Linked DNA regions of Styela clava. The protein of the gene in region 1 binds, or shares a complex with, the protein of each later gene. Links are inferred from orthologs where the notes say so. Each region holds a gene or a part of one and is shown in the gene's direction. Other genes may lie near its edges. The genes, in order: basement membrane-specific heparan sulfate proteoglycan core protein-like, scaffold protein ILK-like, integrin alpha-V-like and beta-parvin-like.

Evidence for each region.
Region 2: basement membrane-specific heparan sulfate proteoglycan core protein-like (region 1) and scaffold protein ILK-like share a complex: the UniProt entries of both Caenorhabditis elegans proteins name them as parts of the integrin containing attachment complex. The link is inferred for Styela clava from reciprocal best matches to the Caenorhabditis elegans genes unc-52 and pat-4.
Region 3: basement membrane-specific heparan sulfate proteoglycan core protein-like (region 1) and integrin alpha-V-like share a complex: the UniProt entries of both Caenorhabditis elegans proteins name them as parts of the integrin containing attachment complex. The link is inferred for Styela clava from reciprocal best matches to the Caenorhabditis elegans genes unc-52 and pat-2.
Region 4: basement membrane-specific heparan sulfate proteoglycan core protein-like (region 1) and beta-parvin-like share a complex: the UniProt entries of both Caenorhabditis elegans proteins name them as parts of the integrin containing attachment complex. The link is inferred for Styela clava from reciprocal best matches to the Caenorhabditis elegans genes unc-52 and pat-6.

What each region holds. Positions count from the first base shown.
Region 1 is NC_135251.1:19,814,761-19,822,019, forward strand, and holds the start of basement membrane-specific heparan sulfate proteoglycan core protein-like, read left to right. Parts: upstream 1-4,216; 5' UTR 4,217-4,408; coding exon 4,409-4,483; intron 4,484-7,259. UniProt on the Caenorhabditis elegans protein: Component of an integrin containing attachment complex, which is required for muscle development and maintenance. Probable structural role in myofilament assembly and/or attachment of the myofilament lattice to the cell membrane.
Region 2 is NC_135261.1:8,305,299-8,313,179, reverse strand, and holds the start of scaffold protein ILK-like, read left to right. Parts: upstream 1-4,871; 5' UTR 4,872-6,916; coding exon 6,917-7,881. UniProt on the Caenorhabditis elegans protein: Probable pseudokinase that acts as an adapter protein. Component of an integrin containing attachment complex, which is required for muscle development and maintenance.
Region 3 is NC_135263.1:3,185,909-3,193,735, forward strand, and holds the start of integrin alpha-V-like, read left to right. Parts: upstream 1-4,663; 5' UTR 4,664-4,757; coding exon 4,758-5,074; intron 5,075-7,778; coding exon 7,779-7,827. UniProt on the Caenorhabditis elegans protein: Required for muscle development probably through the regulation of the actin-myosin cytoskeleton. Component of an integrin containing attachment complex, which is required for muscle maintenance.
Region 4 is NC_135255.1:14,757,883-14,765,678, reverse strand, and holds the start of beta-parvin-like, read left to right. Parts: upstream 1-4,564; 5' UTR 4,565-4,711; coding exon 4,712-4,808; intron 4,809-5,321; coding exon 5,322-5,476; intron 5,477-6,182; coding exon 6,183-6,311; intron 6,312-6,554; coding exon 6,555-6,672; intron 6,673-7,318; coding exon 7,319-7,419; intron 7,420-7,796. UniProt on the Caenorhabditis elegans protein: Involved in the regulation of cell adhesion and cytoskeleton organization. Component of an integrin containing attachment complex, which is required for muscle development and maintenance.

The sequences.
Region 1 (7,259 bases):
AAAACTACTGTATTTTTTAGGATAGGGGTAAATTTGTAATCATCTATATATATTAAGTATGTTGAGTGCAGACCTTCCGATTACAGTATTTCCGTTCCCAATATTGCCATAAAGCAGCAAGCGTAGCTAGATTGTTCGTATTTGTGTTGTGAGAAAGAACTCGGCATCTTTAGTAATCCAATGAATCATTTTCGGGTTACAAAATATATATTTCTATTAGTTTGATTTCGTAAGATTTATAATTTGTAGTTGTGCATCACAATTTAGTGTCGAAGGCCTAGTTAAAGTCTTCTGTTTGGAAAACCTAAAATATTGATGATTGACTCAGCTGGAGTACTAACTGGCAAATATTCATGTTTGTATTTCATGTACGCTCAGTATCATACACATGCAAAGATAAAAAATAAACTCCGATCGCGTGAGAATGCAAATAAGTCACGATAACACGATCCAGTAGCGAAAGATCCCGCTGTGATATCATTTCGAACGATACTACTTCTGACATAGGTTCGTGTACAACCGTGGTTTTCAAAGTGCGTCGTTACAATTTTGCTCGGCGGTCGTAAAACTTTCTTCTCTTGCGGAATTATACCTGTTTTGCGGTGCGTAGCAAAAGTCTAATTATAAAATTGCACTGCAGAAATAAATGTACAAGCGTAAAAATGATACTGCACGAGAAAAGTCGAGAATTTTCGCAAGTATGATGGAAGCTACTTGTACTTAGTATCGTTGAAGTTCCGAGTAAAAAGGCTCCTTCGTTTTTGTTAGGTAACATGGTTTCACTGGCCAAATCCTTGCTACAAACAACACATTCCGGCTTTTCGTTGCCATTTTGTTAAACGGAATCGATATAAAAAATAATTATATTTCCTAAAATTTACCGAGTTTTTGGAATTTTTTGGATAAAGATTATCTTTCCTTGGTTGCGTACTCTCACCCCTTCTTCGTATTTATGTGAAACAAGCTTTTCTACCATGGCGTAATAAAGAAAAAATATCGATTTTGAGTAAATTTTGGAAAAATGTGTGCAGCTGTCACAATTCACCCCAAGGTTCAATAACATATAACAATTGTAAAAAGACGCAAGTACATGCACATTAAATGAGATTTTACTGACTTTCGTCAAGTTTTTCTTGTCCGTTTAAATCAGGGGTGGTCAACCTTTCACATACCATGCGCCACGTTTTAAACATAATGTTTCAGATGCGCCGTAAATCTCTTCATTCTCTTGTATTCCCACGCCTAATGTCCACTTCTTGTTGAAATTATATTAATTTATAATACACATACATATATACACACATATATGTAGTTTTTACAACTTCACATGAATAGAAATTAAGCAAGGAAGTATAATAAAACGCAAACGCAAAAATTCGAGCAATTTACGATAAACAGATTACGATTGATTACGAAACAAGGAACCATTGTGACGCCATGCTTCAAGTAAAAACTACAGCCTTTTTGAAAGTAGGAGAAAAACGCATTCTGTCTTATGAGCATTACGCAATAAATCTGTTTTTAACGACGAAGAGAAAAAGATACGATTAAGAAGCTTTTTGGCCTAGCGTCGCGTGATTTTACTCCAGGCTTCTTCGAGATTAGTACTTGCGTCACAGCAAGCGATTTTACGCTTCGCTTTTGTTGACAACGGTCATTTGAAGTTTGGATGAAAAAGGTGGTATTTAGGGGTCATTTTCAGCATGTTGTGGGTTGATTTATAATAAATTTTTTTGGCTTGGGCAATTCAACTGGTTGTTCAATGGTTATTGGGAGATATTTGGGGAGTCTGGGCAATGGAAAATCTATGTTTCAAGCTGATAAATGACGATTTTCTATTTTTCCAGAAGTTCTGAACTTTTTACTTCAGTAGGGAAAAAATAGTAAATTTTACTAACTTTTGCTGAAAGTCTAGAATGAATGTCATAAAGTCCGTCCAAAAGCTAACGTCGATAATCGCCTGTTGTTTCTAATTCCAACAAGCCGTAAGTGGGCGGCGTGGAGTAAGGAGAATAGATTTTAGGTACAATCAAAAGTCACCATGTAAATCGCAAAAAACGGCTTGGCGTGGAGAAGCCAAGTGCAATTAACAATTTTGGCATGAAAAGGGTTAAAGATGCAATGCGCCACCTCTAATCATGCAATGCGCCACGTTTGGCGCATGCGCCATAGGTTGGCCACCCCTGGTTTAAATGAAACTCATTGCAAAAAAGTTCTTTTATTGAAAGGTCATATGACGTTTTCATGGGGAGTCGCAACATAAGTATATTTTTCGGAGGGCGTCACAGTACAAAGAAGTTTGGGAACCACTGGTGTACAATATTGAAGTTGAAATAATTAAACATTTTCGATTTTATTTTTTATCCTCAGAGCTTCAATACGACAGCCTAACGTCAGCCAAATGTCATAGAAAGACCCGCTTGTTAGCCATATCATCTTATACACACAAGGTTTTATATATGATGGTAAACTATGATGATTCATTTAGAGCAAAGATACACTTACATTCGAGACAACTGAGCATAAAATAGGCGAGCAAGATATGATGGGATACTGCGATGATTAATTTCGGTTTCAAAGTTCAGATTCAGATACATTTGAGACGAACTTTTACACAAATAATTGCATTAGACTCTACAACAATTGTTATAACTAAAGCAGTAATACAAGCGATTGTCCTAACTATATTTCGTTTTAGGTCACTTTACGCTTCCTTATAGATCTGCTTCAAGTATATATATATATATATATATATATATACTGAAACTTTCCATTCATTTTTACCGACAATTGGCTGCCTCAATCGTACATCAGTGCCAAATTATGTGGATTTTCTATCAAACTCGATGTACTGATTAAGCTAGCAAAAATACCAAGTGTCATGGTTTGTAAAATCTCGTTTTTGGTTAATTTCATGAAAATTATTGCATTCGAATAATGTGGTGAATGAATATAGCTTATCGCCTGAAAAGAATCAATTATTTGTATTTTGATCTGCGTGGAGAATTGGTAACTACCTCTGATATTTACCAGCTAATTTAAGAATAATCAGTCTTGAACTATCTTTGTCCAGATGTGGGTAAAGACTCTACGAATGGACATTTTTTTTTAAAAATAATTAACGAAGCAATTTTGACAGTTATCACATTCAAATATTTTCAAATTTTGTTTGAAAACTCTTACTTATTTGTGGTTCATCCCGGAAAAGTATAGAATTTCTCATAAATTCTTCTTTAAATAACAGTAGTATAATCGCAATATACTAGATATTTCAAGGTCGGACGAAATGGGATTTATATTGACCCAGTACACGCCGTCGCCCATCAGGGAGCTAAATCTCAGCCTATTCATAAGACGGCGGCGACGGAGTTGCGGAACGGAAACGTACCGTCTGATCTGTTACCGGCGGACGATAAAGTACGTTCTCATCGGACGTTTACATTGCAAATATAAACGACGGGGCAAACGCGACTAAATAAACCAGGTTAACGTAGCCGCGCCTCGAAGAAGAAAAAACGGCGACGCGACGAAGAAAATGCTTGGCACCGTATATTTGGTCACACTTCGTGAGTTGTCGTCGACGGTGGCAGTTTACGACATTGTTAAAGCAGGATTAGTACGTTGTTGACCTCTATTGTATAAAGCTAGTAATACGGTCGCCAACATGGTGCTTTTGTGGCAATTCTCGAAGCCAGTTCAGTAGAAATGTAGCTCTTGTGCAACACGACAGACTAAATTCGTAGAGTATGAGTCAGCGCTCCAAAATAGCCTTCGCTATTATCTCATCAGCTGTAACTTTAGCATAGTCGACCAAGTTGCAAAGTACAATTCCCGTTGTAACGCCGTACAAAAATATTCTTCTTCCAAGCTATTCATTTCACTACAAATAAGCTAGAGTTCTGCTTTAGTGAATTTTCAGTTGGGATAGGTTTCGTAGTTTGAGGCTAAAAGTAGCGTAGTGTTTTATAAATCCATCGGCACTAATTCCCAGACATTTTCCGAAATTAATTGGCGAGTTCCTCAACGGTTAAGGCTTAATTAAGATCGCTTAACGATGTTATCTTTAATTTGATTTACACAGTCCTGTGTTGGTTACATCGCAGCAAGCACACTACCATAAATCCCGGCGAATGGAAGATAATTCTCCGGGCGTTCTCGGGAGTAAAACACGATATAAACGCTAGTCGAAGACTCAATTTTGTCAGCTTGAATTTTATATTATATATTTAGTTTTAAATAACCAGATAACGTAATTAAGTTAGGAGTATCGCCAAGAGGGACTCAAAATATAAAGTTCGCTTGTATGTTTTGTGATTAAGAGAAATCTGCTTACGATAGACCTTTTTATAATCAACAATAAGGATATAAGAGAAATCTAAGAAGCAATTACCAAGAGGATTTATCCGAAATGGATATGTTATGGCTTGGCGTTTTTGCCACATTGGCAATTGCCACATGCCTCGCCACACAAGACTTGAATTTGGTGAGTAGACTGTTCTGAGTAATTTAATTTAATCGGCTGCAATCTCTATTACAAAAGACTGGACTTTGACTTCCCATATAAGAACCCTTTCAACACATTTGGATTCAGGTTCCTAAATTGCATTTGCGATAACAAATGTTAGCCGATTTCAAGTGCCTTTGGATCTCGTACTCTATGGGCAATGGCCTCTGATGTATTGTGTCTATAAAGGATTACAAATCAAATCATGTTGGATTTCAGCTTTACCTATGTGTCCGTTCATTGAACAGTGCAACCAAGAATTTCTTCGCTCGTATGTTTTATTTTTAAACTTTGACGATTTCTAGCATTACGTATATAAACAAACAAATGATATAACAACATACATGACATGACCCTGGACATAAAGTCTTCAGTCTCGGACGACGACCTTGTTTAATGTGTGTATATGATCAAAGCTGTTGTTCAAACAGTTATAAAATGTAACCTATGATCGGTCACGGGGTTATATTTTGTGCGAGTGACCGACCACCCGAACTTTGTGCGGGATTGAGATTCGTGTTTCGGTAACGCTTGAAGTCTTAAGTAAAAAACAAACGTCATGTAAATATTTGGCTCTTGTGTTTTATGATTTTTTCTATTTTTGAACGCCTATCTGCATCAAAGTTGTATCAAAATAGTCACATATGTTGAAATATGATTGGTATTTTTTAATTTAATTTATACGGTTTGTCTTGTAAAAGAGCCATCTATTCTATTGTCGGTGGATTCTTTAAAATTTTCAATCTTAGTTTCTAAATCATTAGCGATTGCAGTAATAAATTCCAGGAGGTAAATGCAATTTTCACAACAAATGGACGTAATGGCATTTTCTCACGGTTTTAGATTCGTGGAAGGAGTTTTCTTTCAGGAGTATATCTTTGACTTCCCTGTCGATACGGCAAATAATTTCGATTATATACTTCAAACCCGACTCCCGCTTCGCATAACACAAATACGGTGACAATTTGATGATTGAAATAGAAAATGTTAGAATTTCATTTCTATAGTCTTGCTCTAGCATATGTAACAATGCAAACCGACCAGGACATGAACCGGAACTGCCGAACAAAAAATAATTTGATCGGCCACCCACTAACTCACACTTGGCAAATGAAAACCATCACACAGGGTATACTGAAATCATTCTGTAACGTTCTCCATAAATGTGAAAATCAGCTTGCGCTTTCGATTGGATTTACAAAAAATGATCACCGACAGTATGGCACCATTGGGTGTGTTGGGAAATAGGATTCAGTTATGTTTTGATTTGAACAAAATCGTTATTTAGATCTCTTTTCGTGATTACGCTCCGTTCTATTCAAATATTTCATAGTTTGTCTACTTGGTTTCATGCGTCGTTATGGATGGCGCAAGGTAATTTAAATTGACCAACTATGAAATTAATTATCCACTGTTAGTTTCAGATATTTTGTATCTACGTAATGCAAAATATGGAATTGCAATATAAAAATACAATATTGCATGATGCAGTTAGTGATAATTATAATGCCATCTCACAACGCCTCTGGTTTTAAATCACCATCAGCAACTGTATTTGCGCGTTTAAATGCCGGGTCCTGTGGGATTTTATATGTAGGTCATTGAAGAGCTGAAGCAGAAGCATGCTATTATTGTATGATATATAATCTAGTACTTTTCCTTTCTAGGCTCTAATTTTGATTATTTTTATTGATCTGCTTATGTACAAAGAATGTGCGAAACCAATGTGGTTTACTTACAATATAAAATAACCATGTCACATTTCGTGCGAATATTCCCGCAAAATTGCGCTTTCAAATTGTTCATTACAGCCATTAAAACGATGAGTCTAAATTGGAAACGGTATCAATGTAGGATGCTAGGAACGCTTGCACTACCGGATATATTTGACCACACAAGTCGACAAAAGACATTTTTCGAATGATCAGTTCGTGTATGCCTCTTCCATTCACAGCTCACTTTGGGCGTATTTCACGAAGCAGAAATTCTTTAATTAGCCTGCATGAGTTCACAGTTTAAAATATACTAACTTTTTGAACCCATCTTGCTGTAACTAATAGGCTTATATCCCTTATCAACATGCTTATCTGAGTCTAATCCATGCAACGTTGCGCATAGGAATGCTTACATTTACATCTTGCAACTCTGTCGATTTATTGATGCAAACCATCCGCTACTTTTATATTCAATAAAATTTTATATATTTATTCATTTAATCATGATTCTTGAATCAGATTTTGTAATACACCGTAATACAGAAACACAAGAGGTTGCATTTTCTGCTGCATATGTTAATAAATAAAAATGAAAAACTCTTTTTCAAGTACCAATAAATACAGGTGAAATTTTATTTTATTAAAAAAAGTTGATTGCAATGCCAACGCGTTACCAACAGAACACTAAGTTTTGCTTCGAAATATTGCTTAAAATTAGTGATTCATTCGTTCTAATATAATTATGTATTGAGAACATTTGTTGAACAATTATCACCAGCTTCCACTCGCTGCTGATAAGAGTCTCAGCAGAGCAATGACCATCCCCAAATTCAAAAAACTCCGAAACAAAATATCATGCAGTACTCCACAAAAGATAACTAAAATACGAGCATTCGATGTAGATATATAAAATACATGATGAAATGAGTACATTCATTATAATTAAACATGATAAAGATTAAAGAATCAAAACTTTTTGTCAGAAACTCAATATTTGGCTTGCAGGTTTGCATGTTTATTTTGGAGGTTCGGAGGCTGGT
Region 2 (7,881 bases), on another chromosome or scaffold:
GATAATTTAATTATAGCTTGGGTATCTTTTTGTATTTCGTCATCACTATCAACAATTCAATGAATTATTACGCATTCCATATTGTATTACATATAAATGGCTATTGCAGAAGACACAATGTTTGAATACGATAATGCAATATTGAAAGAATAAAACGAGACAATAATATGAGTACAGTATCTACCTCTGATATAAGCAAAACAACGTTTCAATATCGATTGATCCTTCACTTCACATTTGGAAATAAAATATCGTAATACAGTTATAGGTAGTGATTTGGCAATACAGCGTTCGTGACATTTACGTGATGCTGCGCGAAAAATAGAACAAACGTGAAGCGACCAATTTAGATTAGAAACTGTGCTTTTCACTCTTAAGAAACTATCTACTTACATACTGTCTGTTTTTGCGTCAATTTCGAGGCCCAGAAATTTATTCAATATATAACTCTTTTTTTTTTTGAGATTTTTATCCGAAAATCATCAAGATAATTTATTTTACTGCGTGATTCGCAGCAAACATAACAGAATACCTAGAAAAAGGTCTTTCATGTGTGACTTTATCTTTCTTTTTATGACTTGTATTGTCATTTTTGTGTCGTGGCGCAGTTTGGAAATAAATTATCTATCTGTCTGGCCACAAAAGGTGCCCGTCACTGAAGTGAAAACGAAATTACTGGAGTTATTTCGACTGTTCACGAAATTCTGAGAACCATTCATCAAGATTGATATACAGGGTGTCCAAAAAGTTTTGCCCGATTTCATAGCATTACCAATTGCAAATTTGAATAATTTTTTTTGTATGACTAATTAGGACTACAACATTCAACATCTATAACATCCAATAAGAAACCGGTCGACTATAAATCTTTTTTAAAATAAAAAAATATATATTTGATAATAAAGACTTTACAATAATAAAGACTTTACAACAGGTGTGGCTCAACGGGCTAAGCGTTAGGAATACGCTCGCCACCGCACCTCTAATTACTCTGCGTGGGTTCGCAGGTTCGAATCCCACGCAGGGATGGTTATGTGCGAGAGGATTGCTGGACTCCTCGCTTCCTCCACCACCAAGTCCATGCTTCCGAAAACAAACAATACAGTAAAAACTAATCCCATACCCGACTTGGAATGGTAACCGGACGAGAGGCTGTTGTTCGCCATATGGATAAGCCGTCTTATCGGCTTTCCTCTCCCCCGGGATAAATATGTAAATCCTATCCTACAATCGGGCGAAACTTTTTGGACACCTGTATTATATCAAAAGCCAGAACCAAACATGTACGCTAAATATTTGATGCTAATATTTAAGTTCCAGATACATATTCCGGTCCATGCTCCGGATAATTGGGAGACGAGTCTTGGCTATTTTTTGTGGAAGTATATATAATTTTCGTTATAGTTTGTTTCAAGTTCGATTCTCATGGTTGAAACACGAAATCCAATCGTTTTGTTGTTATGTTATTGTTGTTCATCTTGTTAGTGTTTCTTCATGTTGCGCAAAAATCGCTTTTCCCATAAACTGCAGTAGCCATTGATTTGAAATTTTCGAGCCAATGTTTATAACCATACTAACAGGTCGATGCTGGAAAATATTCATTACTGTGTTCAATGACGTCATCAAATTAAAAATTGCGCACTTTGTGCCGGTTTTGGTGCTCTGGTCAAATCGTACATATAACCAAGGCGAAGTCGTGAAGGTTACGGCACCGATTGTTCACTGTGACAAATTGCATACCCTTATCACTTCATTTTGGTTTCCGTGGCCATGCATTTGAGCATTGCTTTTTTCAAAATATACAGGCTTCTTTCTTCGCATTGTTAGCACAGTAAAATAATATGTATCATTTGTTATGATGATTTTCATATTTATCTCGTGGATTGATCCTTTCGAACATAATCATCCATAGGCTATGGGTTTCAAACCCTTTTACCTACACAGGATAATCATCGGAGTGAATGACGTCGTATTCTTAAGCCCCAGCTCGATGCGTTATCTGTCAGTAATAGAGAGAGATACGGAGGCAGAATTTGTTGATTTGTCAAGTCACTTGTAGGCTATACCAGAACACAATACATAAGTATCATTTCTCTTTCAATAAATGAAACCTATTTAAAATTTAATTTAAATAAAGAAATAATAAGAATAATCGAACTTCTTTTTCTAATAGGAAAGTCTGGCATGATAACGTGAAAATATGATTCATAGCCACATTTAATTTCACATAATTGATGATCAATCAGTTTATTCATCTAAAACAAAATACCGCAGTAGATCAGGGGAAAAGTTCAGATAGCCTAGTCAGTCAGTAGTTTACCTTTTCCAACCAGTGAGGGGGGGAGTAGGGTTGGGACCCCGGGATTTGGACTGTTTTTTTTCAATCCCGATCCCGCATTTATTTCCTAAAAATCCCGGAATTTTAAGGCTTTGTTATCCACATATAGATATTCTCGCAAATGGTAGGTTATACCATTTTATTTAAATACTTATTTAAAAAAAAGCCATCCACGCTTACAGTTTGAGTGGAAGTGGAATTATTGTGCGAAATTTATTAGGAATTATTATTTGACTAGTAGAATTGTCATTATTGCCGACGTATTTAATCATAATTTGAACTCAAATTAGCATTCAGGATTCACGCATTGACTTTGCAGAGTTTTTATTCACTATTTAATACGAAAATAGGACAGCCACACAAAGTAAAATAAAAAAGGTCAACTATATCGTCTTTATGAATATCTGCATTCCGGCGTCAGAAATGATAGGGTTTTTAGCTTAAAATTGGGACAGGTAATTTATGAACGATGACAAGAAAGATCAAAGCCGACCCAAAATTTCAAAATCGGAATAAAATCCCGAATTCAACCACAATTCGTTAAAATGATTAGATTCGATGAAAATATACTATTGTGATTTTTGACCACCCTTGCGATCTGTAATCACGTCAGTAATCTGGCGAAACGCGTGGTAGTCCAAACACTGATGCAATGAAATTTAATAAAACCTTATATTTAGTAAACTGCATTACTTCACGAAAGCGTGGTGGAATCGACGATTATTCCATATCTCGAACACAAAACGGTTATCATTTTCGGAAAGTTTCGGCGGTCGGAAAGCTCGAAGCGTTTCGACATAGTAAATGCTATGATCTTTGCCAAATTATGCTCGGGCCTTGCACGAAATTCATAACGTGAAAAGATACGTCCAGCTGTGAAAATTGTTTATAACTACTTTAAACCTATTTAGTGTTTTTTATGGATAATAATTACGGTAATTGTTGTAATGAAATACAGTTTGTTTCCACTTTCATTTCTCTCGCAACCGCCGACAATAACACTATTGAATGATTTTGGCAATGGGAGAAACATATTGAATTGTAACAAAAATGAATTAAGTTGTTTGATAAAGTGAGAATTAATTAATGTGAGAATAATAAGGGCGTAAGCGTAACGTGGAAGTGCGAGTAAAACCGAAGCGCGTGATCAGCGTCGGTTTGAAGACCACGTATTACCCGTGCGGCCGCGCAACATTTACAATAATGAGAGGTGCTTCGAAGAAGCTCTCGTTTACAATGTAAAAAAAACAGTTCTAATATCGGTAACTATTAATCCATTTATTCGTGTTCGACTATCGCACTCTTTATGGGTAGAAAATAGTCGTGTTTTATGATAGGTGTGCTAATATAAACATAATACAATAACGAAAATATTCCACAGTAATTGATTATTGCTTTGTGCGGGTCGATGTGCAAGACCGATTAAAGTCATCTAGGCTCCCGACCCTTGTGTGTGTGCTATATATAAGTTCATCATAGGTGGATACAAATGAGATTAAATATAAATATATAAAAAATAAATACGAGGAGAAAGGAAACGAGTCGGCAATTTAATGGTATTATGGAAGTTACTAAGGGCAATTTAGGATTTAGAGAGGTCATGTGTTGGTTGAAGCCGGACATGTCCAATGGAAAAATTTTCACGAAAAGCATATTTTTTGTTATTGGACACAGACCGGGATCAAAAATGAATACCAAGGACGAAAAATAATATTATCACAGATTCAGTAATAGACCGAGTGCATGATGTAAAAAATATCATTACTTGTCGATCTTGTTTATCGATCTTTGTCTGTTTGTCTGTCTGTTAGATGCAAGCGATATCTCAAGAAAGCGGGGTTTAATCTCCACCCAATCCAATTTTGCTTGTGCGTTCATCATTTCAAGGACCAGATGGCTATTGATTTTGGTAGAGTTATGTCGTATAATTAGGGAGTTATTAATTAATTGGTGTTTGGACACACGGTGTCACTATAGAGTCATGAATCGAAACCACAGTTTTGATCGATAAGTCTTTGGTCTCCGACCGATACTCTCGTTTGACACCTTAATTAGTTCACGATATAAAAAGGTTATTGAATTAAAAGTGGCTACCAACATTCTTAAGTATTAATACATACTTTTGAAATAGAATAGTAGTTAATATATGACCCACAGTTGAATATGAACAATTAAATATGCAATTATTATTGCAGTTAATCACTTTTTCACAATATATAAAGGTTATTAAATTAATTAACAAATGGGCTACTATCATTTATAAGTATTTATGCATACTTGGAACTAGAATATTAATATATGATCCACAATTACATGAAATAAATACGTGATTTTATTGTCATGCAAGTTGTTTCAATCTTTTACTTAATCCAAAAAAATCCCGATACCGGGATTTAAAAAACTGGTTCCGGAATCCCAACCCTAGGTGGAAGTCGGCTTATGGCTTATGGGAATGAGAAATTCTATATCCATCCACTAAAAGGCAGTGCGGCGCCATTGCCAAATTTGGGTGTAACTGAGTTTCTACTTTGGGAATGCGCGTTTTTCGTTGAAAACTTGGTACCGGTAATAGACGTCTAGCCTATACCGGTACCTAATAGGAAATACTGAAAGATAGATATAACAAGCCATGATGTTATTTCAGGCTTGCATATTGTTATTCACCATTTCAGGTATTACAGTGCTGAAGTTCATATGGGGAAAATAACCACGAGCAGACAAGAAGTGGAGAACAGTCTACGGTACCGGTACGGTAACTGTTCACAGGTTTGGTACCATCGGCATAGTAGACTACCGTATTTAAATACGTGAAGCGGTACCGGTACATACGTTGTTGTATTTCATGCCTGTATTGGATATTTATTCCATACAACAGAAAAACCCGTTTAACTGCAAAATGGCCTGAGACGGGGTGGTCCAAATCCAGGCCCCCCCCCCCCCCCCCCCGGGCCACATGTGGCCCGCATCGCAATTCTGCATTTGTGCGAGAGTAAACGGAAAATCGCATTTGGTGTTGTTTCGTCTTTTCTGGCTTTTCATCTTTTTGGTCGGGAATATATGCTAACAAAATAGGCATCATAGAAAACTGAAAATCGAATGAGGAATCTATTAGCCCAGGTTATGGCTGAACAATACAATTCCCGCCAGTTTTTTTTGTAACCAACCTAAACAGTATTACTAAAAATGCTGCCTATATGTCAGAAAATTTAGTAGCCTACCCTCCTGTATCTCAAATTTGGTAAAATTTGGTAACCAATCAATCTGCAGTTACTTGTAAGTTATTTTGTAGCCTAAACATGAGTTTAAAAATAAAGCTGACCAATTCAAACATATTTTTGACTGGGTGTGGGAGGGAAAATACCACAATGCTTGCTTGATATGTCCGCAAGTTGTGTCGGTGACAATTTAATACGGCAGTTTTCCTTATGACACTTTCTGCGTTATGAAAAGTTTGAAATCTCCCACTAAATGTAGATATAGTAAGATTTTTGTGAGTTTTCTTGTGGTTTTTGCATGCTTTAGCCTAAAAAAATGTCAATTAATGAGCAATGTATTTGACAATAAATGTGTTTGTTTTGTATTGCACTGTTTACATGTTTTTAGCAATATTGTGGCCCGCGAGGTCGACAACCTTGGACCACCCTGGCCTAATTACTGACAGACTGGAGTCTACTGGCAGACTGGTATGAATTAAACATCACAGAATCAGTTTTATCTCTTAATTCTGTAATTTGTGTAAGACTGATTTTTTCACTTCTGTACTTGTTGGAAAAAACAAACTCAACTTGTTCTATTACAGTATTATAACAATATTCTTTTTGATGCTGAATGTGTGTTGGTATGGATTGGGTTCACAATCACATGGCCTCATTACAGCAATAATTTCAACTTTCTCTGCCTCTGAAGTTTTTATCCACTTATTTCTTCCTTTATCCCTACAATTCAGTAATTTAACTAAGTAACAGATTCTTATCATTGATGTTGTTTATATGAAAACTCTCTCTTGTTCTCATATCAAGCATTAGACACTGCGGTAGGCTATATCTGTACTGATGTATATAGCGATAACCCTTTTTCGAATTTTGAGGTCTACTTTATGTCTGTGTAATTATGAACAAAAAGATTGAAGATTAATTCAAATGCTGAATGTTTATAAGAATAATTCTAAGCTGGAATTCACAGCCCAGTAGTATTTGTCAGTGGGGTTATTTTGCTAACTCGTACTCTCCCAAATCACTGAACGTTGTGCGAATATCTGATATACAGGCAGATTGAAACTGCGTTAACTGAGTTGATTTTTGATTGTTTACTCATACAGTATCACCTGTTTATGCAGTGTTGTTATTCTCTTACTGTCTTGCCACAGTAATTTGCAATGTTTTCTCTGGATATGATGTTAATCCGTATAGCATATTGATAAGTCATTTTTACTAATTTCTCAGAATTTGTGATTGTGCTTTTCTTCCAAGCAACTTATTCCATCATGTAATTTCATCTTTTCATTAGAATGATATAACCTAATAAAAATTATCATTGAACTAATTGCAGCAAAAAAGTTTAATTTATTTCAAAACAAAAATGAATGATATATTTTCGGCATGTCGTGATGGTAACCTCATGGCAGTCAAAGTTTGGCTGGATAACACTGAAAATGATTTAAATCAAGGAGATGATCATTTATTTAGTCCATTGCATTGGGCATCCAGATATGGCCATAATACCATTGTAGAAATGCTATTGTCCAGAGGGGCAAGAGTAAATTCTGCAAACATGGGTGATGACACGCCCCTCCACAATGCTGCTCAAATGGGACGTCTTGATGTTATCCACAAACTTATTCGAGAAAAGGCTGAGGTGAATGCCTTGAATGAACATGGTAACACACCTTTACATTATGCCTGTTTTAACAACCACCCAGCTTCTGCAGATGAACTAGTGTCTTGTGGTGCTCTTGTGAGCATGTGTAACAAAAAGGGAGAAACACCGCTTGCTAGAGCCAGGCCAGAATTAGCTCGAAGACTAGCAGAGCTTGCTCGTTCAAAAGGCCAGGATTTGAAAACGAAAATTCCCTTTTCGGAGAATGTATGGAAAGGAACAACCCGCACAAGGGCTAAAAATGGAACTATGAACCATGAAAATGTCGATTTGCGACAATTAAATCTAAAAGGTAAAATTGCATCATCACATTCTGGAGAAACATGGAAAGGACGATGGGGACAGACAGAAATATTAGCAAAAATTCTTGCAGTCAAAAATATAACATCAAGAATATCAAGGGCTTTCCATGAAGAATATCTACGTTTACGAATTTTTTCGAATCCCAACGTTCTGCCAGTAATGGGGATTGTTAACAGCAAGAATCTGGCAACTATCAGCCCATATGCGAGTTATGGATCCCTGTACCATGTCTTACATGAATCAACAACAACAGTAGATCAATCGATTGCATTACGTTTTGCAATAGATATTGCGTCTGGAATGCAATTTTTACATTCACTTGAACCAATGATTGACCGCTTGTTGATCAACAGCAAACATATCAT
Region 3 (7,827 bases), on another chromosome or scaffold:
AATAAGAAGTAATAACTACTAGTTTTCAAAATAGCCTCGAGGGATTCGGACTCTTTGCTTGTTGAAGTCTCATGTGTTTTGAATTTTTTTTACATTCGCGATACAATGGCGGCAAACGGAGTAGCTATAAGAGTTTGGTTGAAGGTTTTCGTATTGTGATATTTGGTGAAAACAAAGATGCTATTTTGGTATTGTGCCCCACTATAGTTAGACTAGGTTATCGCGCTGTCCTTCTCTCTTAATCTTAGTAGGCAATGAATTGAACGTAAGTCTTGTGTGTTTTGAAAATATTCTACATGCGCGCTACAATGGCGGCGAAAGGAGTATCTGTGAAATAATTTAGTAAAGGGTTTCCGTATGGCGATATTTAAGTAAAAATACAGGCGCTATTTTGGTATTGACCCGCCACATTCGTTAGGTTATCGCGCTATCATTTTCAAATCTCAGTAGAAGACAATTAATTGAACGTTTGTCTCATGTGTTTTGAAAATGCCTTACATATGCGCTGCAATGACAGCAAAGAGAGTTCAGATAAGGGTTTTCGTATTGCAATATTTACGTAAAAATACAAATTCTATTATGTTATTGTGCCCCACTAAGTTAGGCTAGTTTATCGCGCTATCATTTTCTCTTAATCTTGAGGCAATTAATTGTACGTATGTCTCGTGTGTTCATGCTACAATGGTGCTACAATCTGCGAGAATTTAGTAAAAGGTTATCGTATTGCGATAAAAATACAGATGTGTTTATATGTTGTGTTATTGCGCCCAGCACTCATAGAATAAGTTACGTTAGGTTATTGCCAAACTATTCTTATTGGACAAGAAGTGGACCTATCGTTTTCGTTCGTTATGTTGATTGTCGTTATTACTTATCGATCTTTAGATCGGTAAGTATGCTGATAGGTATTTGTCTGTTTGTCTGGTAGATGCACGCGATATCTCACGAAGGCGTGGTTGAATCTGCTCCAAATTTTGCATGTGCATTCACCAAATCTCGGACCAGAATTATTAAGTTATTAATTGATTAATAATTTTTTTTATAATTAGCGAGTTATTAATTAGTTTTCGATAAGTCTCCGACCGATATTCTCGTTTTTATCTCAGTAGGTAATGTTAGTAAAATAACGCGAGGCGTAATGTGGCGGCAAAATGTATATGTGAGAGTTTGGTAAAGGGTTTTGGTATTGTGATATTAAGAAAAAATACAGATGATATTCTCATTATTCTGCTATTGTGCCAACTAGTCGTAGTAAAGGCGAAAAAAAAAAGTTGTGGCAAAAAGTATGTGAAAGAGTAATATAAAGGGTTTTCGTATTTCAGGATTTCCAAAATATTTTGTATCCAAATCGTATTTCGGGATTTCCGCGGATATACACATGGGTTCAAATGTACGTGGGTTCAAATGTACGGTAACCCTTTTGTGGCAATATCGGGAATGGGAAGATTAAAATAATCAAATGCACAAAGCGCCGCATGTTTATTAAAGTGTAGAATACCAAACTGTTAGACGCTACTAATTTGTGGTAAGTTGTCAGTCGTATTGTATCATGAAGCCCGTACCAGGTAAAATAGCAAATTAGGATGAAGGAAGGTTCGAGTTAGGCACAATCGCATATTTCAGTGGTTCTTGAACTTTTTAAGCCGAGCCCCATTATCAGAATTCGTCAAGTTTCGCGTCTCATCTCAAAAAGTAGCTGACATAAGCTACACTAACAGATAGTAAGGCGAAAGTTTGTTTTATTCGGAAAACACGTTGAAAATGTGGATGTGGATCGAACGTTAATATCCAAAATAAAGAAATGTAAATATCCAAAATAAGGCGAGCAAGATCAAATTTAACAAATATTTTTATTTTTAATGAGCTTCACGCCCCTCAAAAAATTGCCTACGCCCCACCGTTTTGAGAACCACTGGCATATTCATTACAAATTGAATTGAAAATGGCTCAATGTCTACAAGACAGCTTTTCGTGTGGTTTGCAAAACATTACATATATTCATTAATTAGTTGGACTATTGTACAGGAAAGATTCAAATATTTTCTAAAGCACATTAGCCGCGCAGGTGTCAGTATCGTGTTTTACACGTTGGGGCGTTATCGTAAGAAAATATATTCCAACCACAAAAATATGTTAACTGGCTATCAAAGAAAGGTTATCTGTTTCGTCTACCCATAGGACGGGAAGTAAACAGTCGATGGGTAAATATTCAACATTCCAAATTGCCATAGTTAGCTATTTACACTTCTACGCGCTCAGCAGATGATAAACGACATGATTAATAAGGGCGTGATAAACAGCATGCGGTTCACAATAGCTATACCCGTAAATGTGATTGTAATTCCTTAAAATCAAATCTGGTGTCCAAATAGCACTCAAATATACTTCTATATGAGAGCAGGCCAATTATTTGGTGGCGGACACCGGAACGTAGTAATTATTTTAGTTCTTTTACGACTTCGGGGACTAGCAATATGACTCCCGTAGTATTTGTACCAGAAATTATGGCCTAACCCTAACCTGGTACGCTTACTAGGTTTCGGTGTCCGTCATCTTGGTTCACATATTTCGGTAGTACCAATTGATCGGCGATTCGGACCATATTTCCAACTTTATATTTCCAACCTCTCATCTACAATGAGCTTAAAAGCGTCCTTGGGGGAAACTATTTACATGACATTTAAGACCATATTATGTTCAACGCAAATTAAATATGTCTAGATAAGATAAAATCGACCAGATTTCGTGCCGTGGTCGAGTCAGAGTTTCGCTTCATTTCAATCTCAATGCACTTTGTAAAGCGTTCTAGTAACGCCGCGAACGTTGTGTGCACAGGCATAATGGCGGCATTTTTCTCGAGTTTTGCGCGTTGTGATGCGGCATTCGACCTGGCTTGCCCGCCCACGCAGTTCTTACTGCTGAACGTAATTTCAGATTTCTGCGAATTGAAGCGATAATACATTGCGATGCAGATTTTTACTACTATCAACGTTTACAATATTGTTGAATTAAAACAGATCTTTACATTTTGTTGGTCCTGTTTTCAGCTATATTTCAATGAGTTTGTAACAGCCTAAAATACTACATTTGTCTTAACGAAAGTTGGTCTAATTCAACGTTTCCCGACCGAATTAGAATGCTTTTGGGTAATATGAATAGTTTTTCTTTGTATTTGCATGTCTTGCTAATATTTCGTAATTATTTGGTATTCTTTATTGCATATTATATTCATACATTATGGCCTATTCAAAATGTACTAAAAAGTCAAGTTGCACATATCGCGAGCAATTGTTCCTGAAAGATTAAACAACCAAGGGAGGAATTTGAAACTTAAAAAGGCCAAGAGAGGAATGTGTCAAAGGGGGTTAGGAATGGCTGGTCTACTATATATTGTCAGAATGTTTCAGTCAAACTCCACCTGCACGGCAGAGGCAGGAAGTGGTGTTTAATAGCAAGTTTATGATTGAAATCATTATATCAAAACAAGGCGCATTTCCTCATTTATATACATCAGTTGACTGTTGATCTAGCCGGCAAATTGTGTTCAGTTAAGTTATAGTTGCAAGACATTTAAGTTATAGCTGTCCATTTAATACAGACAATTAGAGTCACCATAGGTCATTTGAAAAATATGGCCCAAGACAAACACAGGCAATAGATCTTTACCAACAAAACTTTCATTCTATGAGTTATTTCGTCCACACAGATGTACTTTATAAAATTCCCTCTACAATGTTTTGCCTCGTAGATGTTCTCAAGACATTGTTAACTTGATCAGTTTGAAATATTGTGACAACCTTTATCCACTGACAACTTTATTGAAAAATTAACCTATCTATATTTCCTAGCATACCAGTGGTTTCCTGCACCTCTTCAGTCAATACTATTTTTCGTTAGGAACAAGTTGGAGCAATCTTGCACGAATTAAACAAAACTAGGCGCATTTCCTCATTTATATACACCAGTTGACTTTTGATCTAACTGGCAAATGTGGTCAGTTATTGTTGCAAGACATTTAAGTTATAGTTGTTCATTTCAGTAGTGCATGAACCCTCCATTTGGTGCTATTTAATTTTCAAGTCAGGAACCACCAAACAAAATACCAGTTACGATAATACCAGTTACGATGTTTGCACAAGTTAGTAGTTTTCCATGTATTTATGCAGCGTTATGTGTAGTTAATCTGTTACAGATGGTTTTAGTCATATACTGCCATGCTTGGGATATATTCTGTTTTGTTAGTAATATATCCGTGCCATATATAAGCAATATTAAGTTGCCAGTCACATATGACTGCAAAGCATAAGTAAATAAAATTATGGATCAATGTAGCATTCTATCCCAGAAGGTGTTACTCATGTTTTTCAATAAATGAGAATATTATACATCTGTGGGCAAGTCTATTGCAGTCTCTCGACCTTGTGTGGTATAGGTATTTATGAGCAGAGGAGAATATATTATTAAAGTTCCTATTTGAAATTCTTTTAATCTATACATAACCATTCATTATTCAAGGAAGTAATGTCACCTCTTTTACTTTCCTTTTATGGTCATGGAATTGTGTTTCTGTGAGATTAGAATTTAAATGAGTTTCTGCATTTATAAATAGATATTATAAAGGAAATTCATGTCATTCTATTATCTGTTTATTGTCTACATTTAGCAGACACTGTATCCATAATTTAATTTTATCTGACCGTTAATAACCTTTGTCTTCCTTTGGTGCATTGTGACATCATACTGAAATCACAATTGGAATGGATATTCTGATGACAGAAGACCAGAAGCAGATGACAAAATGCCAACACAGAGACATGCCAGGGCATGGGCATTCCTCTACTGAATCAATTGAAAATAGACAAATTATGGTTTCAAAATCCATGCCACGGTTTTCAATAAGGACTTCAAATATATTATTGACTATTTTTACGCTTCATTGCCTTTTATTTATGACTCACAATTATGTGGAAGGATTTAATTTGGATGTTAAATTTCCTACTCTTGTTACGATACCGGAAAAGAAATCATATTTTGGATACACAGTAGGAATGTACTCAAGTGAAGGCGAATCTTGGTAAGTGAATATTTTAATAATATTTTGCTCAGAGCAAGGTCACGAACACTCACCCAGAAGTGAGGAAGATTCATCTCTCAGCAAAGTTATGGACAACTACTGAAATGCCCAGAGCTACAAGCACACACTCAGAGAAGTAATGAAGACTCATTTCTGAGGAAAGTCGCGGGTGATCAAGAAAGTTTCGAGAGAAATTGAAACTACAGTATATAGATTAATAGTAATACATTATGCCAGGGGTGTGCAAACTGTGGTTGCAGGCCACAAGAAAAAATAGTGCGGCCTGCGGAGAAGTGCCAATTTTAAATGATGTGCGGCCCTTGAAACGAGTTTTTAATTCAGTTCAATCTGGTGAGTGCGAGTAATTCCCAAGTTGCAAAGCCTATATCGGAACCAAATTTATTATCTATGCCTATGATGTCACAATGCCCTAACAGCTAGCTTGTGCGAAACGAACAACATATCATAATATCAACAACATATTTTTTGTGCCTGCAATTACTAGAGAGCCTATGTTAAATAAAGGTGTGGCCCAGTTATTTGTATGTGGCCCTCCAGTATTGAAGGTTGCACACCCCTGCATTACAGACTAGTAAATACTGATTGACACGAAACCTGAAGCAGTTCAATTCAATGGATGTTTCTCTGGTTAATTTTTTTTTTTATTTAGTACTATATAGGAAAAAATATTTCGGGGTCAAGGGTCGGGGAAACATCCATACCATCAGGAAAACAGCAAGAGATAGTAAATACTGCATATTGCAAATATTAGTGGTTTGGAAATCATGTGATTCCAATAGGAAATTAGGAATGTTCAAAGAAGTATAGGGTGTCTCAACTTTTTATAAAATTGCAAAGGGAAAGAAGAGCCGATATGCCGGCTCAATCATTTGGCGAACCACGGCCTCTCGTCCGGTTACCAGTCCATGTCGGGTATGGGATTAGTTAGCCAGGTATTTGTTTTCAGATGCATGGATTTGATGGTAGAGGAAGCCTCAACCGACCAGCAGTTATGTGAACCACCCATTAGTTATTGACATTACTTTGATCAAACTTATATGAATAATAAAAAAAGTTGTCTCATTATCTAGAAAGCTTGTGAGTGTTACATGTATCCAAATTTTCTTCTTCTCTCCCAAATTATCACATTGTCTCTGGAAAGCTTGTAGAGATATATGTCTCTAAATTTTCAGAATGAAAAGTTGAAGAAGAAACTTATATTTTGTCCAAGCTTGAATAGATTAATGTATAGCTGTTAAACATTACCCATCACATACTATGTGCTCTTCTAAAAATAATATCTCGGAACATGTTAAGGCACAGACAATACAGGACATACAACAGACATGAGTATGCTATTAGTTATTCCCCATAGACATTGATAACATCTGATCACATCTCACGGGAATTAATTAGACTAATTAGCTTTGTTTCTGCCTAATACAAGTTGGCAAGGCTAGACCACAACTTATTCAATGTAGTTTGTGGGTTATTCGGGTTGAAAGTTGATGTAATAGCCTGACATCTAGACTGACAGGAATGTCTATGATGGAAAAGATAATTATGCTACACTTTGTTTCATAATTTTCAATATTCTGAACCACCAACTTTGATCAATCAATTAATTTCATTTTGGTCACTCTGGCATAAAACTAAACAAGTAGGCCAACAAAATGCTGAAGACCTGGAGGACGGGCATAATATAGCAAGCAAAGTTTAACATACAAGTTTGGACCCATCCACCAAAAACAGTTGAAGAACATAATAAAATGAACATACATGATATATAATCAGGCAATAAATCTTAAATGCACAAAAATGAAAATACACTTCAGCAAACAGTGCGAATCGAACAATCCATGAGCTCGACTTCTTGTCCAGTAAAACACAAAACAAAGAGAACTATGGCAAACTGTGCGGGTTAAAACAAGCTTGTCTTAGATTTTGTACCTATGTCCAACATTGGGTTGCAAAATCATGGCAAGTATAGCCACAATTTTTTAAACGCATTTAATCAAAAATTGCATTTTGCTCATTGTAGAATCGTTTTATATACCGGTATGTATATCGTTATACCTGATTACATATGAGTTGAGCTTGAAAAAATATAATGTAAAAAATTGTGATAAATTATGAAAAGTTTATTTAATGTCAAAAAGTCCTAGTTTGCATTTTGTGCCAAAATACACACACACATGATTGCTTCACCATACCGATTATTGGTTATCAAATATTCATTAAAATAAAATAAATTTCGCCAGATATTGACTTTCTTTTACCAGGACCGTAATTCCACACTGTTTTATATCGATGTTTGAATAATTGTTGTAATGAATTAGGTAACCATCTATAAGCAGTCGATGATGATTATTTTTTTTCTCCTGACTTAAAAGGAGTGTTTTAATATTGTAAATATGTTTGCCTGTGCCTTGTCCTGATAAGAATCTGCTTTAGGGCTCGGTCAACCTTGCAGTCTTGCGCGCCCCTTTCGGATTATTACTTATCGATTTTAATCGGTAAGTATGTTGATAGGTATTTGTCTGCCTGTATGTCTGTTAGATGCACGCGATATCTTACGAAAGCGAGATTGATTCTAATCCAGATTTTGCATGTGCATTCATCTTATCTCGGACCAAAGTCTTTCCCTCTGTTCAGTATATATATAGATATTATAATATTAAAAGCATTAATTTTCTATTTTCAGGCTTATTGTTGGAGCTCCAAAATCTTTAGAACGTGGTGAAATATACAAA
Region 4 (7,796 bases), on another chromosome or scaffold:
TTGTCTCATTACACATTCAAGCGAAAAATACATATAGAGAGTGATCGATGTAAATATTGAAACGAATAAAACTCACAAAATTCTATTCATTATATTGATGTAAAACGAAAAACGTAATTACTTTGTGCCTTTCATGAAATAAGCTTGAGTTTCAATGTCAATTTAATGTGTTCAGATAATGAAGGAAGATCAGGCAGGTGAGAAATGTTCAAATGTAGCAAACAACTATATAATCGATACTTTTCTTAGGTTCCGTAAAAAAGTGAACTATAGTGGTGGCAAATGATAATGATTTCAGCAATATATTGCCATGTAAAACTAATATGGTATTTAAGAACCGAATGTACCTAAACTGCTTTCTTTCGACAGAGTATTTATTTGGAACTCTATACTCCCTAAAACGTGATAGAACAAGTAAATTATGCTTTTGAATGGAGAGAAGTTTGAATGGAGAGAGTAAGACAAGGGGCACTTATGGTTAAAATGACAGAAAATTTCATTTTTTGTGATTTGTTGTTGCAAAGTTTTCATGAATCGGGATCTTATATTAGTTATTTTTAAAAAATCGCAATATGTAGTGGACTATGTTAATTATTGTATAAAATTGGCATTCATTTATCTATCGACTTTTTTTTATATATAGACAAATTAACTCATACAATCAAAGCAATTGATCCGCATTTCTGAGAAAACTTGGATTGTTGTAATGTGTCTTAATTCGTGATCAAAATAAATCCGAAACGGGACGAATTTAATGGATATATAATTTCCCCGTTCTATTTCTATGGCGCCTTAGAAGGTGATAACGAAAGATGGAAATATAAAGTACCGTGGATAGATATTGCCCTTGTTCTTACTACAAGTCGTTCATTCTTTTTAGTGTACCATTATCGACATTGTACTCTAACGACAGCAATATAAGATGATTATTATTTTATGATATTTTCAAACATATTTTCATCCCAATATTTTAGTTAGATTAAAATTTCAAATGTGAATTTTCTCAAGCACGTTGAAGTTTTTTGATCAATTATTTGTTAATCGATTTTGCTAAATTTATCGACTTTCAGACTTCACATAAATTCACAAAGACTGATAAAACTCTATCCCAGAATAAAATATTGATCACGTATTTTAAGTGCATAAAATGCACGTTTTGGGAATATATTGTAGTTTTGTGACGTTGATTGCACAGACGTCGGCGTATGAGAACACAATACATATAACAATATTCACACGAAGATCTGTTTAAGTATGGATGTTGTCGACACATAAACTTACATCATAGCATTCTTATAATATATTTAGCCCAATGGTGTGTATAGGTATTTTCGAATTGCGAATACTTTTTAGATTAGGCAGGATCAATAGCTATCACCACATTGTCAGAGTATGAACGAGAAATACACAGGATATGTAAAACTAACAAACATAGGGAGAAAAATAGTTTTATGGCTAAGAAAGCGAGTACTTAGAATATTGTTTGTATTAGATTTAAACTAAAAAGTCAAGCGAGCATTCTATTCCACATGTACGGCGAAAGCCTTTGTAGAAAGGGATTTGTCAATGATTCCACGATTTTTTTTATTGAAACTCTTCAGTGATTTTTCATTGATTTCGGTGCTTTTTCAAACAAATGAATTTCTTTTAAACGTCAGGATTGGTTTGGTTGAGTTTATGAAGTGAAAGAGGAATTTTTGTAAATGAATAAGAATATATTCCGAACCTAATTTATATTTTGTGACAATCGTTCCATTGGAACTTGACTAGTAAACAAGCATTACTTATTGAAATGAATGTTCTTTGAATTATTCATTGCAGATTAAATCCGTTGATAATTAATTTTTAGTAGCTTATTTATATCAAATTTTGTGTCAATTAGCTAGTTTTGTTCAATACAACTTCTAGACGTGTTTTTTGTGATACCGTATTGAAGAAAGCTAAAGAAAAGATATTCACAATGGCGCACATGGCTTGGTCGAATTGGGAAAATAAAGATGAATGTAAGTATTTTTATCGATTATTTGTCATGTTTATTCCTAGGCCTATCAATTCAACACACTCATTTCTTTTACTTTCAATGGTTATGGCATTACCACAAATATTTGTGACATGGTACAGCAGACTTAAGTGAGTTTGAAGTGGACCATTGAAATGCTTTGCTAACCTGTAGTTGTTCGTGCTCATGTTCGAGAAAACTACTGAACCAATGGTTTTCTAGTTTTCTTGAACATGAATGGTTTTGACAAATAACCGGCCTCTAGAGATCATGTCAAAGACCCATCAGACCACAAGATTCGCCACTTCAACTAAAGCAAAAGTGCCGTGGAATGATTTGGGAGATTTTAGCCATCCACAATGATGAATTGCTGGACGATGTGCACTGTTATAAAATACAAGATGACAAAAATCAGGTTAAAATAAAAAATGAAATAAAAGTTATCCATGGCGATATGAGAGTCCTGTACACGGACCGGATTGTACCGGCTTCAAAATAGCTGGAGGATGAGAAAAAGAGAAAACACTGCAAATCATATAGGCTATGGTGCTCCTCTGCCTCGCGTCGAGTTATCAGTCAAGATCTAATGAATTTTGGCAATCAAAAGCAAGCTCACTGTTTACGGGTGGGCAAGGTTTTTGAACCCAGGGCCATAAAATTTGCCCATCCACATTGGCGGGCCATGTAAGTGTGACGTAAAAGTTACATTATATGAACAATATTCACAGTGTTACAAGAGCAGACGTGGAAAGCAATAGGCCTCGTGCCGAAACTAAATTGAATCGCAAATTTACCAAATTCCTAGTTATTTTTAGCTGAAACATCAAAATTTGGTTTTAGTTTAGGTATGGCAGCATTAGGCAGTCCAGATTGAATTACTCAACTGGCCGGATTTGGCCCGCGGGCCGTAGTTTGTTCATGCCAGTTAAACCAACAAACCTCAAACGACAAACTGTCGATGTCCTCTCAATCAGTTCGGCGGAATTGAATATTTATCCTGCCTGTTGATTCTACAAATCGAAGGTCGGATCGTACGTTCATCGCTATTGGTTTTCCATTTTGAAGACGTCTGAAGGGTCGGTCTGTGTGTGAGTTATCCTTACGCATATTTGAATGGGCCCCCAATGCTGCAATGCATGAACATTTCTGGCGGATAGCGCGATAAACTACCCTATCCGCCAGACTAGGGTTAGTTCGGATACCTATAATTTTTACTATCCGGATAACGGATATATCCGGGTATTCCATATTTTAACTATCCGGTTGACCGGATAGTTACTGCTAATTTTAAAGATCCGATTTCGCAAGATTTTTACGGCGAATTGATCAAAAACCACCACACAGTTCTATTGTTAATAGCTCAAATTTGCAAGATCGCAAAAATACGAATAAAAACTGATATTATTTGTGCAGCTTACTACGTATTTTCATATATGCAGAATGCGGTGGCATTTTATAGTAGAAGTGCTTTAATTTCAACGTATGTCGACGCAATCGAGAGATACGTTGAACAGAGTTATTATGGAAAGACATTTTAAAATGCTCGAATCAGCCACAAATTGGTTATTTTGCGCAATAGAAAAATTTAAGAAGTTGAAAACATGCACATTACATGCATTCGTAAACCAAAAATTTAGAAATGCTACACAGATCACATAGATTACGAAGTATTGGGAATTAAGTCATGGCTTGTTCCAGCATGAAATGCGTTCCTTCAATACACGCAATAAACTAAAAGCCACACCTGACCAAAAAGCCACAAACCCACACCCACACATTCAATGCTTTTCAACCTAATTGGTGGCTAAATATGGGCAGAGTAGTGTGAATAGAAGGTGTTATTATATGCTCTGGAGTCTGGGAGATGTCAAGACGCCACTCAACAAAAAATATAAAAATTACTAATGCGCATATACATTATTTATATTCCTCTATTATCCGGTTAACCGTCACAATATTATCCGGATATCAGATAGTAAAATACCTCTCGGTTAATCGGTTATCCGGATAACCGCTATCCGGATAATCCAACTCTACGCCAGACATCGGTAGAATGAGACAACCGATTGGATACCGGTACCGGTACTTATTTGTAAGAATATTTGGTTTCGGTGATTAGACTTATACAAATTTGTTTTGGTGGGAGGCAGCACCGGTGGGTGTGCCAGTGACGTCATAGGTATTGCCGCCGTATACGGCTCATTCTTAATTCAGTAATTGCGTTTTCAGGATAATATGTGCGTTTGGCTTCCCCGACAGATCATTTAGATTTTTGAGGTACCGGGACGTTGAACTATATTATATTAATAACAAATAGACTAGAGTGTTCAGTTTTTCAAATGATAATCTAACATGGAATTCGCACAAAAATCCATTGTGCCGTTGTAGCATACGGTAACTGAACTGAACACAGTTCCGCAGTTTGAACTGCTGAGGTACGGTACCGGTACCGTACGGTATCCGCGAACATTCAACAGTTTCTGTCAATGTCAGAATGTGGCAGAAAGGAGATGTTGTTAATTCTGAAACAGCGGTAGCAGCATATACCAGTATACATATATCTGGATATAGTGAAATTATTGTACCTCATTATTTCAATATTTGAATGAATTAATTGATAACAATTGATGAACACATCACCAAACTCTGAAACTTATGAATTCAGTTGAATTAGAAGCATTGTAATTTGAAATTAAACAACGGATATACAAAATGTCATACCAGAAATCTCCCGCAAGAAGGGAACCGGAAAAATCTGAAGGATTTTTTTCATTAACACTTGGACGCAAGAAAAAGCAACGAGATTCTGGTATATTCAGATATTGGATGGAACTTTATCATACATTGGCAATTCTTTGTCAGATCATATAAAGATTGGTGTTGCCGCTCCCCTTTTCTATTGTAGATTTCTAGGTTCTTTGTTATCGAATCAAATATAAATTAATTTTTGTTAAATTATAAAGACCTGTGTTGCTATTTCTATTTCAAATTTTCAATGTACTAATGCCACAAATTACCCAATTACAGAATAGTGTCACCAAGTAATTGGTTGATTTGTAGTTGATATTGAATCAAATATAAAGCCACAAATTGTAATTTTTATGTGGCCATATTTTGATCATACAAATCTTATTATCAACTGTCATCAAAAGTATATTTTTAATCATAACTTTGTCAACTTGGCCTTTGGCGAGTAAAAACATTGTTATAATTGTGGTATCTTAAATTACTTTTGTTAAAATCGTTAGAATTTTTACTCCTTCCTTTTTTCGAAACTATTTTAATGTGAGTGTGTACTCTAACTTTTGATTTTCTCTTGCAGTAAATGCATTGGACATAGAAGCTCGAGATGCAATTGATGGAGGTACAGTCACACAAGAGATTGATCCTTCGAGTTTCCATTTAGAAGAAGGAGAAGAGAGATCTATGATCGATCAAAAATCAAGAGAAGCTAAAGATGTTGTGGATCTTGAGCGGGTGTGAATTGAATTTCATTAGAGTTGTACAGGGTGACCTAAAAACAGAACACATAAATTTCTTAATAAATACTTTAAAAAAATTATTTAATTTTGTTTAATTTAGTCCTAATAGTATGTGCGTGTGATTGACAACTCTGGATTCGTTACATTACTCACTCACTTTATGTGTGAATATTAAAAAAACTACATAATATATCATTATTCTTATTTAATTTTTTGTTTAATATACTACTGTTAATATATTGATTATAATGGTTGATGAAAACCCTGTCAAAGGACATTACCTAATTATTAATCTTGACAGCTCATGTTTGCTAATAGGTAAATTATATAGATAAAAAAAATTTCAGTAGGTCTAGTCTGGTAGTATTTCCGGCTGTTTCATCTGTTTGAACAAACCCTATTCCATCTGTTCTCCTCCAAGGGGGCCACAACGCAGTCAGAGAAGGCCACAATGCTAGACGCAAAACTCATTTTACTTTTCACTTTACAAGAAAACCTCGCGTTCTTCCTAGTTTCATTGCTCGATAAGGTTATTTCGCAGAGTGTTTTCACTTTGCTGAGTATAAATTGTTTGAACATATTGGGATTTGAAATCTACCAATCAAGATAACACTATAAATATCACTGATTTAATAAACAGGAAAGCCATGAGCCATAAAAGGTTGGAAACCACTGCCTTACTCTGATTGCTTCTGTTTTAGGTTCTCATGGAATGGATTGATGATGTTCTTGTCGAACAAAGAATTATTGTTAAAAATATACAAGAAGATTTGTTTGATGGACAAGTTTTGCAGAAACTTTTAGAAAAACTTGGTGATGTCAAGTTACAGGTTGGCTTGACTTTTTTCTATTATCGTTCTATTTCTTTACTCCTGCCAAACCTATCTCAATCTTGCTCATATTGAGTGTAAAAATTACTCACTGTTTTAATGAGATAGCTAGTCAATTACAACGGGGAGTTTTTCTGTAATATAATTTTTAATACCTTTCCAAGATAAATTCAAATTTAGACATGACATTGTTTCTGTATACCTATACAACAAAAATATGATATTGTACTACGAAACATTTAGGTTCCGGAAGTTACGCAAACAGCTCAAGGACAAAAAGATAAACTCAGGGCAGTTCTAGATAAAGTCAGTCAACAACTACAAATACAAAGCTGGAATGAAACTAAATGGAGTGTTGATAGTAAGTATTTTACAATGTAATTTTTTTTAGGACACACACAAGCATAATCCAAGAAAATAAAATTTAAATTTTAGCTCGCATTTTTGTTAATTATAATTATCAAGACTGCTTTCTGAAAATGATTATGATCGGAACATTCTGTGTCATCAGTTTTTTTTGACTTATCTCAATAGGATAGGATTTTCATATTTTAAAGGGAAAGAGTGAAGCCTATAAGACAGCTTAATTATATTGTTAATTATGACATCTCATCCAGTTACTAGCCCACTACACACTTGATTATCTTGTAAGGATTCAAAACCACACCATGCCATTTCCATGACTATAGACAAGCTCTTTCGAGACATATTTTACCTAAAATTTTTTGGTACTCCCGAAGTATGTGTGCCAGGTTGAGGTTGGGCCATAATTTTATTTCGATTTTCCTTATTTTAGTGCTATTACGAGTTCGAGGAATGTCTGTGTTAGCCGAGTAAATATCCCCCTGCCCATAGGTTTCAGTCCCTTCACATAACTTGATGTAAAATAGGCGAACAAAATTGGTGACCTCCATATTGGCATACATACTTCTCGAGCGCCAATTTTTTTAATTCAGTGTTTTTCTGAAATCATTACTGCTGTGTTTATGACTTTTCACCTTTTTCAGGTATCCATTCAAAGAATCTTATTGCAATACTTCATTTACTAGTAGCACTTGCTGCCCATTATAAAGCACCGATACGATTGCCAGAAGATGTTCATATTAAAGTATGTTGTTTTTATATGCTGCTTATGTATCATTATTCTATTATTATTTGTGTATTTGGCTGTGATATATTTTAATTCTAGCTTGATAAATCAAGTCCTTAATTGTAAATTATGCAATTCCAACTTCTGCAGATAAATACCCTTTCATGTGATCATTACTTACATTTATCAAATCTTATTTTTATCCCATAATCATTTTTGAAATAAGGAATCTTCAGTATTCATGACATTTTTATATAACAATTTAAATGTCAATTGTTTTTGTCCGTCTGTTATAAGGTTGTAGATGTATTTGTATATCATCAGGTCAATACTTGATATTTATGGACTCATTAACTTTCTTTTTTGTCTGTCTTCAATTATTCTTAAACGATTGA